Cricetulus griseus: one gene and its partners. The protein of the gene in region 2 interacts with the protein of the main gene of each other region in a pairwise test. Links are inferred from orthologs where the notes say so. Each region holds a gene or a part of one and is shown on either strand. Other genes may lie near its edges.

Region 1 (6,282 bases), on a different chromosome or scaffold from region 2:
TTTTTGTTTGTTTTTTCATTTTTTCTATCCTAGTTCTCAGGGATATCAAAGCCTGGTCATCCAGGCAGTTTTGGTCCTGGGCTTCATTACTTGGTATGGGTCTCAAAGTAGACGTGCCATTGGTTGGCTACTCCCACGAATCTTGTGCCTCAATTGACCCAGCACATCTTGCGGGCAGGATAGATTACAGTCTACAGGTTGAAGGTTTTACAGCTGGGTTGGTGTCCCAATCCTATCACTGGAAGTTTTGTCACAAGACTAAGGATTGCACCACAGATACAGGGTTAGAAATAGAAGCACTGTGCCTTGTTTTTGGTTTTTTAAAGGACATGCAGGACCTGCTTTTCCCAGGTATGTATAGTATTATTTCTTTGGATTATGCTGTTGTTACACAAAGCCTGGGGGGGGGGGGTCCAGACTTTGCAAATTGGCTTCTGGCTTCCTACCCATGTTAATCTTGCTGTTTCAGTCTGCTGTCCTGGCTCTCCAGTCACATTAAAAAAAAAAAAAAAAAAAAAAAAAAAAGTCCTTACTAAGAGAAATGCATCTTCTACTTCCAGACAGAAAAGGGAAGGGCAAAGAATTGTTTCTCTGTCTGTGGCTTCTAAGTTGCTTTTAGCTCCAACTAATCCTTATGCCAAAGTGGCATATTCCCTACCCTGTCCAGCTTAGCTGGTCTTGAACTCCCCATGTAGCCTAGGCTGGCCTTTGAATTCAAGATCCTCCTGCCTCCCTTACTTATTTTTTTTTCTCTGTAATTAGATAATCTGCTCCTATAAAAACACTGTCTTACCCGCACAAAAAGGGCTGGAACCTTAAACATTAAGTAAGGTTGTATCTTTGTATCTCTTTACCAGCTTCTTGGTGCTATGGGTAGAGCAAACAGACAGCTAGAGGTCACAGTAGCCCCCTTTGAGGTTTTCAAGTGTATGGTCTTCATGTCAATTTCTAACTATTGTTTTTTTTTAAGATCGGGTCTCACTATGTAGGTCAAGCTGTTCTGGAACTTGCTATGCAACCCCAAGGTGGCCCCGATCTCCAGCTACACAGTTCTGGAGTGTGGTGACAAAGGCTGTCCCACTAAGACAACTTGTGTCAATTACTGTAGTTATATGGGGGTCTTCTTTGTTTTCCTGCCCATTCTGGGATATATTCATGATAAGTGAAGTGTTCTCAAAGTGGGCTGGATCAGTTTGTTGTTCTTGGTCCAGCACCCTGTTTTCTTGAATTAAAACATGCAACATTTTTAACAAGCATAGTAAAACATACCCTTTAGATACGTAAAAATTGCTTAGTCAGAAAACTCATCTGATAATCAGAACCCACTGGCGTCATTCACTCAAGACAAACAGACGACTACAACACCACACCTCTCACTGGGCAGTATTTAAGCAGAGACCAAGAGCAATGCCCTGCTCTGGACATCTGGAGAGGCAGCACCTTGATCTGCCTTGCAGCTGGAGAGGCTAAGAGACTGGACCTGACCTTCAGCTAAGAGACGACCCACAGGTGAGCAGCCTTGGGGAGACAGGCTTAGGACCTTAGTTAGGAACTTAAAGACTGTGAACTGTGTGATGACCCTCAGCATAATAAAATATAACGTTTGCTATACCAACTATGCATAACTACCTGCTTGCCCCCCCCCATGCCCTCCCAAACAAACCACCAACAATAATACAAAAAACAAACTCAATAACGCCACCATTCGCCCCTAGCTGGGAAAAACTAATAATATTCTGTACCAAGGCAAAAAGTATTCATACCTTACTATTTTTTAAGTTAATTGCTTTCTCTTCTATTTTACTTAGATACTGAGGACCCTGTTCTGCAAAGCTCAGTAGATGATTTCCACTCATCTAGCTATTCCAACTTGTAGCTATTAAACTGCTGTTAAAAATTGCAGACTGCGTCCCAATTTGGCTTTTTTTTTTTTTTTTTTTTTTTTTTGGTAAAGCAGAGTAAATAAAGCATCTCATACCGATGTACAAGACCTTGCTCTTGTACATGTCGCTCTTCCCACATATTTTGCAATCAGAACTGTGTTTTCAAAGCTCCAGGCTAAACCAAACACCCGGATTCTCAAGAGACAGCAGGCCAAGGAATGCTTTCAGCCCGTCCCAATCTCGCCCCTCGAAGCGTGGGACGGGAAGGGCCGCGCCGCAGGAAACAACGGAGGGCGGCCAGAGGTCGGAGCCCAGCGCGGCCCCGGGGACGGCCCCGCCTCCCGAGTCCGGCCCCAATCCGGGTACCCGCGCCCAAGCGGCTCGGCCCCTTCCGGCTCCTCCCGAAGCGGCGAGTGCCGGGGATGCTGCGCCTTGCGGGGCTCCGCGCCTCCGCAGGCCTGGCCGCCGCGGCCAGCGCCCCCGCCACCCCGCGCCCCCCGGGCCTCCGCCTCCTCCTCCGCCCCGCGACCATGGAGCGCCCCGCCGCGGGTGAGAGCGAGCGCACCGCCCTGCGCGCCCAGAGCCGCCCCTGCCTTGGGGCGTGCTCGCCGCCCTGCTCCGCCTCCCAGGCCTCCCGCAGCCCCACGCCCCTCGCGTTCCTTCCCTCCTGCACCCAGACACTGGGCTGTGCCTGCAGTCCGGTGCACCCCCGTGCTCAGGGCACCGTGCTTGCACCCCCGTGCTCGGCACCGTGCTTGCAGCGATGCGTCACGGGTGCACTACTCCACACCGCGGGTGACGACTTGTTTTTTTTACCTCTTCGGATCTCGTGACACATGGCCCAAAGTTTTTGCAACATCCCTCCCTACTGTGTTGGGGCCGTAAAAGAAACCAAGGGGGGGGCAAAAAACCCTCCATTTTATTTTATTTATTTTTTCTAAATGCAAATTGAAACTTCTGAACGCCATTTTGTATCATTTAGGGTTTTATTTGAGGTTTGGAAATGAGCACTTTAAAAGTGGCGCCAATTTGCTGGCGCCCAGAATGAACTTGAGCTTGGGTCGTCTTCTGCTATGTGCTGAACTTGGGTAGGATAATTAGGGGCTGGACTTTGAGGGAAAGGAACTAAAAAGTAATTAGGGGAAAAACAAGTGTTCATTAAGATCGCTATATCCTAAACGTATACAAAGCATAAGAATATTAAAATATGTTGTACAAACATGCTAAGAATGTAAATACTTTATATATAAAGTATGTAAATAGTATAAATGTGTTTATGACTTTCATGTGAATGGAAAGATCCGTATCTTGTGGGGAGATGCCAAAGTGTTTCTGCTTGAGATGATTTTTTTTTTTTTCTTATGACATGCAAGGGTGTGGATAATAGAGCAGACATGGAAGGGGAGAGGACTCCTCCCACCCATTTACAGTGTGGCTTTGCAGTTTAGGATGCTGTTAGCTTATCTTACATGTTTCCCATATAGTAACAAAGCTTAAGGTACTTGTCGAAGTTACTGGGTCCTTACTTTATGTAGTGATCTGTCAATCTCTCCTTAATAATTTATATTGTTCCCTTTCCATGATGAGGAAGGGAAACATGAAGATTAAGTGGCTTGATTGCCTTGAAGTTTAAACATTTCTGGAGACCTGCTACTCTACTGTTTTTAACAGCTAATTGAAGTAGCTAGACCACAATGAACGACAGGCCCTTTTATAGCTGTTTAGCTCAGGGATCAGAAGAGAGCCTTGCTTATACTGGGACTGTATATCACTGTTCAAATATGAAGCCTGTTTTGTATGTCTTAGGCAGTCTGTCTTTATGTTTTCTGTTTGCTTGACTTTGATGATATTATTGGCTGAAGTGGAGCTATGATTTGAATATTTGATTGTAGTTAGATGATATTTTAGAAGGCACTTTAAATATATACATTGACAGTTTTTCTAAAAGTAACATTCAGTTTAAAAACAATTTAGTACAGCAGTTGGAAAGTGTTTAGCATTCAGAAATACATTTTAGCCTTTATTCTTCCTCTTTCTAACTGTAAATCTTGAGAGCATACAGTTTTCCCTCTGCTTTTTAATTAATCTTACGTTTGTCTGTTTTTGTAATGCTGGAGACCAAACCTAGGGATTTGTGCACACTAAGTCTACCAGAGCTACACCCTTGACCATGAATCTTTTTTTTGTTTTTTTATGATTTATTTATTATGTATACAGTGTTATGCTTGCATGTATGCCTGCAAGACAGAAGGAGGGCACCAGATCTCCTTACAGATGGTTGTGAGCCACCATGTGGTTGCTGGGAATTGAACTCAGAACCTCTGGAAGAGCAGCCAGTGCTCTTAACCTCTGAGCCATCTCCCCAGCTCCCATATGTCTATTTGTCTGAGAGTCACCTTTCCCCTGTTGTTACACTCTGTCATATCTGTTGTTGTCAGTCACCAGAGTGAGCATGCAGTGTTTAAATGACCCTCTTTTCTTTTTCTTCCAAGCAAGGTTGTGAGGAGTTGTGTTAAGTGTATATGATAGAAACCCACATTTTTGAAAGAACCTTAGACCATCTTCTTGGTCATGATTTATTGGCACATTGCTTTCTGAAAGATCTGTCTCAGTTTACAGTGCTGCAGTCAATACATTGTAAGGTTTATGGTACAGGGCATACATAGTTGATTCTGAAAATTGTGGGTCATGTACCAGAGTCACTTGATACAGATGGCAGCTCTTGAATCTACTTTGCTCATGGACAAGTGACTAAATTGTCTAGTTGGCGTAATGATAGTCTTCACTGATAACATAGTTGTATGGATTAAGTGATTATTTCCCAGAGTGCTCCTAGTTGAGTGTGCCCAGCATAAAGTACCTACGTGTTGGTTAGTGTTAGTAATGCTAATTTCCAGTTTCAATTCATTTTTGTTATTAGTGTAACATTTACCCCTGTGGTTGTTTGAATTTGTGCAAAAGATAAATTTTGTTTTAATTAACGACAGAACAAATTTTTGGGTGACTAAAATTTTTTGTGCCATGTAGCTCACATGTGCTGGAATTGCAGGTGTGACTCAACATGCATGGCCTAGGTGACTTTAATTTATTTATTTACTTTGTAGAGTTGAATCTCAGCCTGGTACCTGGCAAACAAAGGCTCTTATGGTGGTCTATCCCAAACTTTATTAACTTTTAATTTGAGACAAAAATCTCACTAAGTTACTTATATAGGGTGATTTTGAATGTACAGTCTGGTCTCAGCTCCCCAAATACCTGGGGTTACAGACCCATGTTACCAGGCCCAGCATATCGAAGCATCATAGCAGTCACAACAATGAATTTATGGTTTACATGCTTAAGGATCAACTGGTTGAAAGCAGTTTTTCTGAAGTGAAGTCTTTACACCTTGTGTAAGAGGAAGCATTGTTGTGGTGGATGTATTTAGTTATATCCCTCAGCCTTTGCCCAAATCCTAGCACTTACAACCTAGTTCAAGGCTTCCTGTAAGGGGAAAATAGGCCTTAAAATATACCTAGCCTGCTGAACATCATTGCTTAGCAACACAGTCCACTCTAAGAGTATTGATTCTTTCATGTCAAGATCCTGGGGCCACCTGGAAGCTGGGGCTTACTCCGCATTACGTGGGGGGGGGGGTGATCTCATTTTCCCAGTCTGGGAAGAGAACAACCCCCAAATTTGAATATTTCTATTTAATGTTCACTGCTTTCCTGAATAGCTGTCAGGAAGGAAAGTTGAACAGGTATCAAGATTCTGACCGTATTTCTCAGACTCAAGAGACTCTGTCCATCCCATGCCCTGCCTCCTTGGCTCTGAGATCTTGAACCCACCTCTTGCCCTGCCTCCTTGGCTCTGAGAGGTTTCCTCCAGTCACAGTAGTAGGAATAATAGCCAGCTTTTGCACCATCGAGAGGTTGAAAAGTTGTACTTGAAGCCATTGTGAGTCAGGAACTTTCCACATGGCACATAGACTCAGGAAATAGTATTGACATGCTAGTATCATACTGGAATATCTATCATTAAATGATCAGATTGAGAAAAAATTAGGAGAATCATAGTTGGGTTTACTTCTTTCATTCTGATTTCTATGAATTCTTCATGTTTGTTGTGGGTAGTATATCGATAATATGTTTAATTGTATAAGTACTTTAAAGATTTCTTTATTGTTGATATTGTTATTTTGAGTTACAGTCTTAGTCTGTAGCCCAGGCTGACTTTGAACTCAGTATTCTTTTGTGTGCTAGGATTAGAGGCATGTATGTGCTCCCATCCCTGGCTTACAAGTGCTCTTTTGTTAGAAGCTTTTTGTGTATAAGTTGCCTTTTGGGTGATGCTCCTCTACATGGAGCTGCCTGTCAAGATTCAACATGCATATTGATCTCTTTAAACTTTTAAACTG
Region 2 (4,668 bases):
ATCCCACCATGTAGGGAGAATCCAGAAGTTCAGCTGTGGGAAATCTCATCCATGGACAGGAAGCCCAGGTAGGAACTCCAATTGACAGTCTCAATTTCTTTAGTTGGTTTCTGCTGGATAGAGTGAATGTCCAATTTGATAATGTCATTTGTATCTGTTGTTATCTGTGATTTCACTTAGAAGCCTCACCAGAGGGGACACTGCTCTTGCCCAGGATTCTATCTACCAGGAACTCTAGCTCACTGCCTCAATGGGGCTTTACCAGTTGATTTCTGCTAAGTGTTTTAAGCATTCAGGGTCTGTCTGTCTGTCTGTCTGTCTGTCTGTCTGTCTGTCTGTCTGTCTGTCTGTGTGCCTGCCTGGCTGCCTATCTACCCATCCATCCTCTATCATCCATCCCAACTTACTTTTATGTTAGGCATACTATATACTTAATAAACTCACTTATTCAAACTGAAAGTATAGCTATCATGGATCATTCTCCAGACTACATAGGTCACTATTTTCTCAGGTGGGAAACACCAAGAGAACTACAGCCTGGAGGTGGCAATATCAGGAGTTGTTTGGCAAGTTCGTTTTGAGAAACCTTACGTCCCAATAGGAATGCTAAGTAGGCAGTTGGCTATAAGAGGTTGGAGCTGGAGGGAAGCAAGGTCTGGCAATCATGTGCAGAGGTTTATGAAGTCATGCAGTCATGTGACTGGATGACGTGCACAGGTGAATATTAAAAAGGAGCCCTGTGTTTGGGTTTAGAGGGCCATCAGTGTCTAGTGGTTGGAGTAAATAGTAATCAGCAAAAGACTTTCAGGGAGGGTTACAGACTCAAGCCCTGTCTCAAGAAGACAAAGCCAAGCAAAACAAAAACTATAAGCTGTGTGGTTGATGCACCAAATAGTCACCACTAGTCCAGCCCGTGAAAGATGTTCAATACATTTTCAGGGAACGATTGCTTATTATGACACCTGAACATCAGTGGGGAAGGCCTAGTCGTTACTTATCTTTATAACAACCCAAACTATTAAAAAAAATTAGGGTTTAGTATATAGCTCAGTCAAGGTCCTGGGGTTCACTACCACCATCACTAAGAAAAAAACAGAAAGCAGACTATACTTCAAAGGAGGTGAGGTTATCAGCAGAAGAGAAACATGAAGCTTAGATTCCAGGGGTCAGGTAGAGCAGCTTTACTCACCAGCTATCAGACCACATAACCCAAGCTCTGAAGCCCTAGGTACTACTGTTCAGATGCTGAATTTAAGGTGTTTAGACACAGGCTGGGGACAAGAAGTGACAACTCTGCTCCCAGGGAAATTCAAGGGGTGTGTTTCAATGGCATGTTTATTAAACAAATGCTCATGACAGATTTTCACAACAGCAACAAATGTTATTCCACAACATCATATCTCCTTACTGAGAAAAAAATGACAATCGCAACACAGATGGATTTGATTACTTTTTCATGTTTCCTGGGGGGTAAAGCCAGTGTCCTCACTGGTCTTCCTCTCCTTTCGCTTGGGCACTTTTATCTGACCTCATTTTCTTTACCTCTTCTCTGGCCACATGTCCCCGGAAGACTGATTGGATTTTGAGAGCAGCGTACTCCTCCTTTTCCCTTTCTTCCTCAGTAGACTCCTCCTTCATCGAAAGGAGACAAAGTGAGAGACTTTTCCAGAATGCTGCCTTTTTGATGCCTCAAAAATGAATGTATAGATATAACTGATTTACAAATGCAACCATTTTGAGGGCTGTTCCTTCCTGGAGGGATTTTATACATTATCACATTGTGTGTATGTGTGTACCAAAGGCCAAATGCCTAAAGAGCAGGCATTCAGCTTGCCACTCTTTAATATGTCTTAATACAAGATCATTGCCAACTTCTTTTCTCTTGTTCCCAGACAGCACCCATTTAAAGTTGCCTGAGAAATAGCATTGTGTTTAGGGTGGGGAAGCAAGAAAGAATCCTTGAAGTACTACTGTGTCTATGTTAACATCAGTACATGTGCTGTTTTGAAATAATTGTGATTTTATAAGATGGATAAAAATGTTAATTCTAATTTCTAAATGTTTAGACAATTAAAACCACACATTAAGAGGTGGAACATCAAAGAGAAAGTCAGTTTATTAATATTGGGCTTATCAGTTGGCTAAACAGGGACATACAGTTTCTTCTTTTTTTAAACAGGTATAATTTACAGATGGCAAAATTCATGGATCCTAAATGTAGAACTGAAAAAATATATGGCCCTTAATGTACCTTTTTAAAGTTACAAACATGATAAGTACATATTAAAATCTCCTCAATCTATCACTTGTTGAAACATTTTCACTTCCCCAGCTCTTGTTCTTAAAAAGTAACCATTATTGGAATGAGTCTACCACAAGATCCAGCAATTCCACTCTTAGGCATATACCCAAAAGAAGCACATTCATACAAGGACATCTGTTCAATGATGTTCATAGCAGCACTATTGTAATAGCCAGAAACTGGAAGCAGCCTAGATGCCCCTCAACTGAAGAATGGATAGAGAAAATGTGGTACATTTACACAATGGAGTACTACTCAGCAGAAAAAAAAAAAAAAAAAACAATGGAATCTTGAAATTTGCAGGAAAATGGATGGAACTAGAAGAAACCATTCTGAGCAAGGTAACCCAATCACAAAAAGACAAACATGATATCTACTCACTCATATGTGGATTTTAGACATAGAGTAAAGGATTACCAGCCTACAATCCACACTGCCAGAGATGCTAGTAAACAAGGAGGACCCTAAGAGAGACATACATGGTCCCCTGGAGAAGGGGAAAGGATCAAGATCCCCTGAGCAAATTGAGAGCACAGGAAGAGGGGGGAGGGAGCTACGAGAATGAGAAGGGGAGAAGAGGAAGGATGAAGAGGTCATGAGGGAGCAGAAAGGTTGAGCCAAGGGAAGAATAGAAGAAAGGGTATGTGATAAGTAGGGTTTTAGTTGGGGGGTGTTAGGGGAGGACGGGAGGGAGAAGGGAACTGGGATTGTCATGTAAAACAATCTTGTTTCTAATTCAAATAAAAAATGATTTTAAAAAAGTAACCATTTTTGTAGGTTGTGTGTCTCTATGTGTATTTGTGTATATTTATACATTCTTCCAAAATTTCTCTATGTATGAGTCCATTTACATGAGACACATTTGTTTTTCATTTTTAAACAAGACCATACTAATTGGAGTGCTCTACAGCTACTTTCCCCATGGAACCAACACATCTGGGTTCTCTTCTTTGCTATTATTTCGTATGTAATTTTGCTCAGTTTTAATGGGAGGGACATGGCCACTATGTTCCATTGTACTGATATCACTCACCAGAGATTTAGTCATTCAGTCAACAATTGACTGACCTTTGAGATGTTCAATCCCCTCCATTACAGCGAGTTAAGTTTAGCTCTTAAACTTTAAATGCAAATAGACTGGCATAAAATTCTGTGAGATGATTCTCTAATATGGGCAAGTGAATTACTCTTAAGTTAAAAATCAATGGAACTGTAACACAAACTTGTAACAGCTTATAAAAGAGCATCTATAAGAGAAATGAGGAAATGTTTCCATTTTTCTATATCTCTGAATTCCTATTACATCTGATGCCATTGTTAGACTAATTGGGCTGTATCAGTATTATTCTAGAATAATTGAATAATGTAAGGAAAGAATGTATCTCAGTAGGGTATGTTCATTTTAGGCATCAATATTGCTGAGATACTAGGACATGAAAAGGAACTCAAAGGTTTGAACTCTGACATTGTACAGAATGAATTCTTTTACACAAAACCAGGTTTGCCTTCCTTCCTTCCTTCCTTCCTTCCTTCCTTCCTTCCTTCCTTCCTTCCTTCCTTCCTTCATCCCTCCCTCTCTCTCTCTCTCTCTCTCTCTCTCTCTCTCTCTCTTTCCTTCTTTTTTTTGAGACAGGGTTACTTTGTGTAGCCTTGGCTGTCCTAGAACTAGCTCTGTAGAGCAGGCTGGCCTTAAACTCACAGGAATCTGCCTCCCAAATGCTGGGATTAAAGGCATGTGCTGCTGCCACCACCACTAGGGAAAGCCTGGTTTTTCTTAGTTTGGACTATGAAGAATACAGGCAGTGATGTTGTGGTAAATGTTTAACTGGCTCTACAGAGAAATAATAGAACCACACAATATTTCCCTCCTAAATACCACCAAAGCTCTGGTTTGTAGTGTTTACCTTAGTCTCAATATGCTTAGATGGCTGATTTTAAGTTATCAAAATGATGTTTGTTGCTTTGTACACAATTATCTCCAAGTAATGGCTTTAGCACACCACTGAATAGAGATTGTTAATATCTTTGAGGATGGATTTTCCTATTTGTGTGTGGCTTGGATGTAGAATATCAAGGCAGGCAAGCATTTCTATAGAAGACCTTGCAGGAAACTGTGTAAGGCCATTTTATTTGGTGGTATGTAATTGTTTTCCTTTAGTTATTTCTAACCTTTGCCTTTGTGTGGTGGCAACAGCAAAAAGTAGTAAAAAACTCCCAAAGGAGAATATTTATATGAAAGATGAGAGGAGGTTCCAAGTTCATCTGCCTGCCTCTTTCCCACGGAAAGATTTTCTGATCTAGATGTTTAAAGGCAAGAATGGGTTTATGAAAATAATCTGCCAGTTTATCACTGACGTTAACCATCT
Region 3 (6,152 bases), on a different chromosome or scaffold from region 2:
GTGAGTTCAAGGCCAGCCTGGTCTAAAGAGTTCCAGGAAAGACTCCATAACTACACAGAGAAACCCTGTCTCAAAAAAAAAAAAAAAAAAAAAAAAAAAAAAAGTGAGGTCATTGAGATGTAGGGTCCAGTTGCATCCATTCCTGCCATAGTGATTTTTTATCCCTTCAGCATTCAGGATGTTTTCCTGCCCTGTGTTCAACAGCTTTTGAAGTTCTGAGGTCCATCCCAGCATCCTTCATCACCTTACCAATATTCTGTCATGGAAAACTGATACTGCAGTGAGGCATAACAGCCAGGCAGATTTAAGGCCAGCCAGAACAATTTAGTAAGACTTCATCTCAACAGGAAAATAAAAAAGGAAGCGCTGGGGATGTAGTGAAGTGGTAATGACACATTCGAGACAGAGAAAACTGCTAAGCCATGAGTGGTGGCTCACATCTTCAGTCCCAGCAGTCAGAGGCAGAGGCCGGCAGATGTCTGTGAGTTTGAGGCCAGCCTGGTCTATGTATTGAGTCCCAGGACAGCCAACGTTGTTAGAGCTGCTAGGATAGAGCTGTAGGTTCAAGGGCAGCAGATGCCAGAGTGAAGTCAAGGCTGTCCCCCAAGAAACTTAGTGAGTGTCTCAGAGAGTAAAAGAGCAAGGCTCAGCAATAAAGGGCTTGCCCGTCTTCCACAGGCACCAGATTCCACTCCAGCACCACACAAACTGGAGTGATCCCAGCACTCTGTGGTAGGCAGAAGTAGTCAGGAGGTAGAGGATCGGAATTTAAGGTCATTCTTGGCTAGCATACTGAGACCCTTGTTGTGGGGAGGCGCGAAGAAAGTTACAGGCTGGAAATGGAGCTCAGTTGTGCTTCAGCAGCACATCTACTAAAATGGGAACAATGCCAAGATTAGCATGATCCCAGCACAAGGATGACACACGAATTTGTGAAGTGTTCCATATTAAAAAAAAAAAAAAAGGAAGAAAAGGCCAAGCGGAGCTGGGCGTTGGTGGCTCACACCTTTAATCCCAGCACTCAGGAGGCAGAGGCAGGCGGATCTCTCTGAGTTCGAGACCAGCCTGGTCTACAAGAGCTAGTTCCAGGACAGTCTCCAAAGCCACAGAGAAACCCTGTCTCGAAAAAACCAAAAAAAAAAAAAAAAAAAAAAAAAAAAAAGCCAGGCGGTGATAGTGCACGCCTTTAATCCCAGCGCTCAGGAGGCAGAGGCAGGAGAATCTCTGTGAGTTCGAGGCCAGCCTGGTCTACAGAATGAGTTCCAGGACAGCCAGGGCTACACAGAGAAACCCTGTCTAGAAAAAAAAAAAAAAAAAAAAAAACAAAAAAACAAAAAACGGGGGCGAGCTTAGCGTCCCAGGGCAGAGCCCTGTATTCAATCTCCAGCACCAAGAAAAAGAAGACTGAAAAGCCCACATATCCCAAGGTTCCTCTCACCATCACTCTTGGGGTTCCCCAGGACCTTCAGCACCTCGGCGTTGGTAGGGTTCTGGCCCAGGGCTCTCATCAAGTCCCCACACTGGCTGTACAGGATCTTGCCATCACCCACTCGGTCAAACAGCTCAAAGGCCTCTTTGAACTCTGAGATGCAAGCAGAAGGCAGTGTCGACCAGGGAATTCGCATCACCTCAGACATAAAGGAGGTTCAGTTGGGAAATGAGGTGCTAGAGCAGGGCAGAGCACTGTGTGCTGCAGCTGGACGAAGCAAGGGAGGTTAAGAGGACAAAAGTGTGGGAGGTTTCAAGGTCAGAACTGTAGTTGAGAGAACAGAGGATCTGACCAGTGGTTTGGGATTGGACAATGGGGTTTAGGAAAAGGCTTCTCACCCTCCAGCTGGTCCTTGTTAAACTCGATCTGTGAGGGGGGTACGGGGAGAGCAAGTAAGGAGAGATGACAGAGTCTTTTCAATCCCTCTCTAGCTCTCCCAACCTACTGGCAGCCACTTCTGGGGAGGGGCCCTGCCACTTCAGTCCCATTCCCAGCTCTGGGCCTTGGGAGAATCCCAAGAGGAATTATAGGGGGAGGGTTTCCTGGGAACAGGGTTAATCCCATGCCACCTGTTCCCCTCCCTCCACTGCCCTGAGCCCTGCATCCCTCACATAACTGGGGGCTGAACAAAGGCTAAATTTACCCCTGCCCCCAGCTGTGATTGTCTAACAAGCCTGTCCTCTTCAGTCCCCCCTCCTGAGGTTCAGAGATGTGGCCTTTTGAGTTAGCTAGCCAGGGGCAGACAGCAGCTCTCTCCCTTCACCTTGAAACTGGCCTGGCCTGGGAACCCCCAAACTCATAGTGTTCATTCATCCCCTACTTTTCCCAAACATTCCCTAATCCGCTAGGCTGTATCACATCCTTGAACCGCCCGCTTCCAAATTCGCACTTTGCTGGGACTTACCACCACTTTGGAGAGATCAACAGGGGGCTCCTGGGTTTTTGCAGGAGTCTGGGGGGCAGCTGACTCAGTCTTGGTCTTGGCTGGAGTGGTCCCTGCTGTAGACCTGGCAGCAGGCTTAGAGATGGAGGGTCCTGCTGGTTTCTTCACAGGAACATCCTTCTTGGGAGGCATGATGTCAGGTGGCCAAAGGACAGTGTGCCGGTGGGGGCACCCATCTCTGTTTAAATAGGCAGGGAGTCTGGGATGTCAAGGGGCGGGGGCAGGGGCAGGGAGCCAGTTGGCGGTGGCAAGGGTGAGGGACAGGAGAGTTATGTGAGTCTGCCTTCACTCCCCTGGCCTCCTGTAGCTCAGGACTCCTGCCCCAAAGTTTTCTTCCCTCTGCCACTCCTCCCCCAAAGCTGACAAGAATATTGTTTCCTTTAAGGGCAGGGGGAAGAAACAAGAGACTTCTCAGATTTAACCTCCAGGGTAAGACTAGGATGCTTGCCAGTGATACTGAGATAGATAGGAGTGAAGAGAAGAGGGGGGGAAAAAACCTCAACAAACAAAAAAACCCTGCATTAGCCCAAGCAATGGAAGGACTTGGGGATGGAGTGGGACCTGGCCAGCTTAGGAAGAGCCTATTGTGAAGTGGGAAAATCTTAACTAAGGTCTGGAAACAGTAAAAGGTGTGTTTGTGATGGGGGTGTCTTTCCACACCCTTTGCCCATACCCATAGTTTAATGAACATTAAAAGTGTAGTCCCTGGGCCCTCACCTGCCCCCAACCTGGAATATGCACAGGAACCGAACAGTGACTTTACCCACTGTCTTCTGCACCTAGTGCTGATTTATGGGTGCAGGTGTCGACAGGTTTGGGTTTAACATGTGCCACACACAATTCCAAAGAAAGAACGTTTTTCAACAAGGTACTGTTATCAAATCGGACAGAAGGTTAGGATGCCTAATGAGCTTGGAGGGAACGCGCGGGCGAACACACACACACACACACACACACACACACACACACACACACACACACGTGAAGGGAGGGTTCTGGGAAACAATGAGCCTAGATTCGCTAATCCAAAAGGTGACAGGGTCTCCTCTGGGTTTGGTGGGTATTCCCACACCCACACTGCAATCAGCCCCATGATAAAAACCTGAGCTCAGCTTTAAGTCACAAACCTTGCTGCCAGCGCTGGCAAAGGGAAGGGGTCGCGTTTGGGAGCTGGGAGGAGGTTCTGGCAACTCTATTCTTGGAGAAAGAAGATTTGGATAGCATTCTGAGAAACTGGTCATTCCACTTAGGCCCTGAGACTCGGGTAGAGATAGTGTGTCTCCTATTTGCAAAAGGGCGTCAGGTTCTTTTCACTGCAAATTGTCCCATTTTTTGGAAAATAAGAAATCCTTCTGCAGACAACACGCCTGTCTCTCTCATTCATACTCCTAAACCACAGAGGGAAAAGGCCCACCCAACCCTGCAAAACTCACCTTGCCGGGTGCGAAGAAGGGCCGGGGGGTAAGGGGGGCGGGGTGAGACTAAGGGCTGTTCCAGGCCGGGAGGGGTTAACTGGGGCGACCGCGGAGCATGCCGGGAGTTGTAGTCCGTGCGCGCTCACCGGAAACCTCTCTCCTTCGGTGAGAAGTGGCGATGACTTCCGGCCCGCGGTGGCAGTTGGTGACTCAGACTCGGCAGTGTTCGCGGGTTCCGGAACGGAAAGGGCTTGCTCTTCTCCACCCATGACCCCACGGCTGCGGACCAGGGACGCCCGCAGGGCTCGGGGCGTGGCTGCAGCTGCGATCCGATCGCTTTCGCTTCCTGCAGCAAGCAGTTAGCTGCGGAGAAGCAAGCCCGCGGGATCGTGTGGCCTGGAGCAGTAACTTGCAAAGTTTTGAATCTTTTTTTCTTCTGTCATTTTTACATTTGATCTTAGGAAGCTGGTTCCCGAAGTAGATGTTAAGATTTGCACTTAAGCCTGGTCCCCTGTCCCAGACAATTTGAGCCATGCGTGGGTTTGCCCTGCGGTGCCCCCCGGGGTTCAGAGATGCCCTGAAATGCAGCGCAGGGCTGCACAGCCCTTCCCTTCTCAGACACCACTGCCCAGCCGGGACGTTCGCCCTCTCTCCCTGGCGTTTACCAAAGGCCTGAGTGCCGAGAGGGAACAGGACCACCGTCCCGAGCCAGCCGAGTAAATGCTCTCTGGCGGGGTGCCTCAAGCTTGTGAAAGCAAGCGGACCAGAAATAGCCCAGCGTAGAGAACTCCCGGTGGTACCGTAGGAACAATGAGGCACGAGCCAACTTTGTGGCCAGAAACGCACTCTTCCTGGCTGGAGAAAGCTCCCGAAGAGTAAAAAGGTCTGTACCGGTGCTGGGGTGTAGCTCACTTGGTATAGTGTTTGCTCACCAAGCACAAAGCTCTGGGGTCCCGGCACTCAGGAGGTGCAGGCAGGAAGAATCAGATGTCATTGGCCATAGGAAGTTGAAGCCAGCCTGTGCTACAGGAGATCCAGTCCCACAAAACAGAAAGGAAAGAAATAACATGATATAGGAAACAATATTCCTGGAGGCTCTCTCTCCTCCTGAGACTGGGGACTGATAAAGGGAGTGTGACTTCTCTGGGGTCACTTTCTGTGGAGGTGATAAAGAATATGGGCTCAGACAAGCATTTTCTCTCACTCGGCCCTCCTGTAAAATAACTCATAATTAGGCATGTTAAAGTTTTTAAGGTTTATGGATTTATTTGTTTCTTATTTATTGAGACAGGGTCACTACATAGCCCTGACTGTCCTGGAACTCACTGTTTAGACCAGGCCGGCCTAGAACTCACACCACAGAGATCCACCTGTCTCCCTCCCAGTTATGATAAAGCACCAGGGGGACCTGAGTGGATTCCATGGCAGTCGAGGGTGACCAAGGCAGAGGGACAAACATGTCGGGGCGGACAGAGCTTAGTTTTGTTAGAAAGGGAAGGGGGTGGGAGAAGGAAAGAGAAAAGAGGCAAAGAGACACAGAAACAGAGGACAGAAGAGAAGAGGAAGACAGGAAAAGTTCTATCTGCCCCAGGGGAACCACAGGAAAGAGAGAGGGAAAAAGAAAGGAAATGCCTGATTCCTTTCATTCCCAAGAAATGGGATTGAAGGCATGTGCCACCATGTACCCAAGGTTATATTTTTATGAGTGAATGTTTTGCCTGCATGTAAGTGTGTACCATGTGTATGCCCAATGCCTTAGGAGGTCACAGACCTCATTGGATCCCTTGGAACTGTAGTTTCAGAAAGTTGCACACTGCTGTGTGGGTGGGTATTGGGAACCGAACGGAACCGGAACCCTGATCCAGTGCTCTTAACCATGGAGCCATTTCTCCTGCCATATAGTTAGACATGTTAACTGTTTTGTTTTGTTTTGTTTTTGTTTTTTTTGAGACAGGGTTTCTCTGTGGCTTTGGTGACTGTCCTGGAACTAGCTCTTGTAGACCAGGCTGGTCTCTAACTAACAGAGATCTACCAGCCTCTGTCTCCCGAGTGCTGGGATTAAAGGCGTGCGCCACCACCGCCCGGCAACATGTTAACATTTATGAGACAGAATGGAATATAAGTGCTACAAACATGTCAAGAATGGGGCTGGAGAGATGGCTCAGAGGATAAGAGCACCGCCTGCTCTTCTAGAGGTCCTGAGTTCAATTCCCAGCAACCACATGGTGGCTCACAACCATCCATTTTGAGATCTGGTCCCCTCTTCTGGTGTGCAGATATACACGGAAGCAGAATGTTGTAAACA

The links. The genes of interacting proteins can lie anywhere in the genome.
Region 1: the proteins of Spa17 (region 2) and Akap7 interact in a two-hybrid assay, tested with the Homo sapiens proteins (3 studies listed by BioGRID and IntAct). The two-hybrid records come from large-scale screens. The link is inferred for Cricetulus griseus from reciprocal best matches to the Homo sapiens genes SPA17 and AKAP7.
Region 3: the proteins of Spa17 (region 2) and Myl6b interact in binary tests that used the Homo sapiens proteins (3 or more experiments, as listed by UniProt). The two-hybrid records come from large-scale screens. The link is inferred for Cricetulus griseus from reciprocal best matches to the Homo sapiens genes SPA17 and MYL6B.

The regions. Positions count from the first base shown.
Region 1 is NC_048595.1:244,452,744-244,459,025, reverse strand, and holds the start of Akap7 (A-kinase anchoring protein 7), read left to right. Parts: upstream 1-2,280; 5' UTR 2,281-2,305; coding exon 2,306-2,432; intron 2,433-2,659; exon of another isoform or gene 2,660-2,678; intron 2,679-2,951; exon of another isoform or gene 2,952-2,971; intron 2,972-6,282. UniProt on the Homo sapiens protein: Probably targets cAMP-dependent protein kinase (PKA) to the cellular membrane or cytoskeletal structures.
Region 2 is NC_048597.1:149,544,308-149,548,975, forward strand, and holds the end of Spa17 (sperm surface protein Sp17), read right to left. Parts: intron 1,633-4,668; coding exon 1,486-1,632; 3' UTR 1,318-1,485; downstream 1-1,317. UniProt on the Homo sapiens protein: Sperm surface zona pellucida binding protein. Helps to bind spermatozoa to the zona pellucida with high affinity. Might function in binding zona pellucida and carbohydrates.
Region 3 is NW_023276806.1:129,396,159-129,402,310, reverse strand, and holds the start of Myl6b (myosin light chain 6B), read right to left. Parts: upstream 4,003-6,152; 5' UTR 3,866-4,002; intron 2,611-3,865; 5' UTR 2,565-2,610; coding exon 2,394-2,564; intron 1,856-2,393; coding exon 1,828-1,855; intron 1,583-1,827; coding exon 1,439-1,582; intron 953-1,438; exon of another isoform or gene 853-952; intron 1-852. UniProt on the Homo sapiens protein: Regulatory light chain of myosin. Does not bind calcium.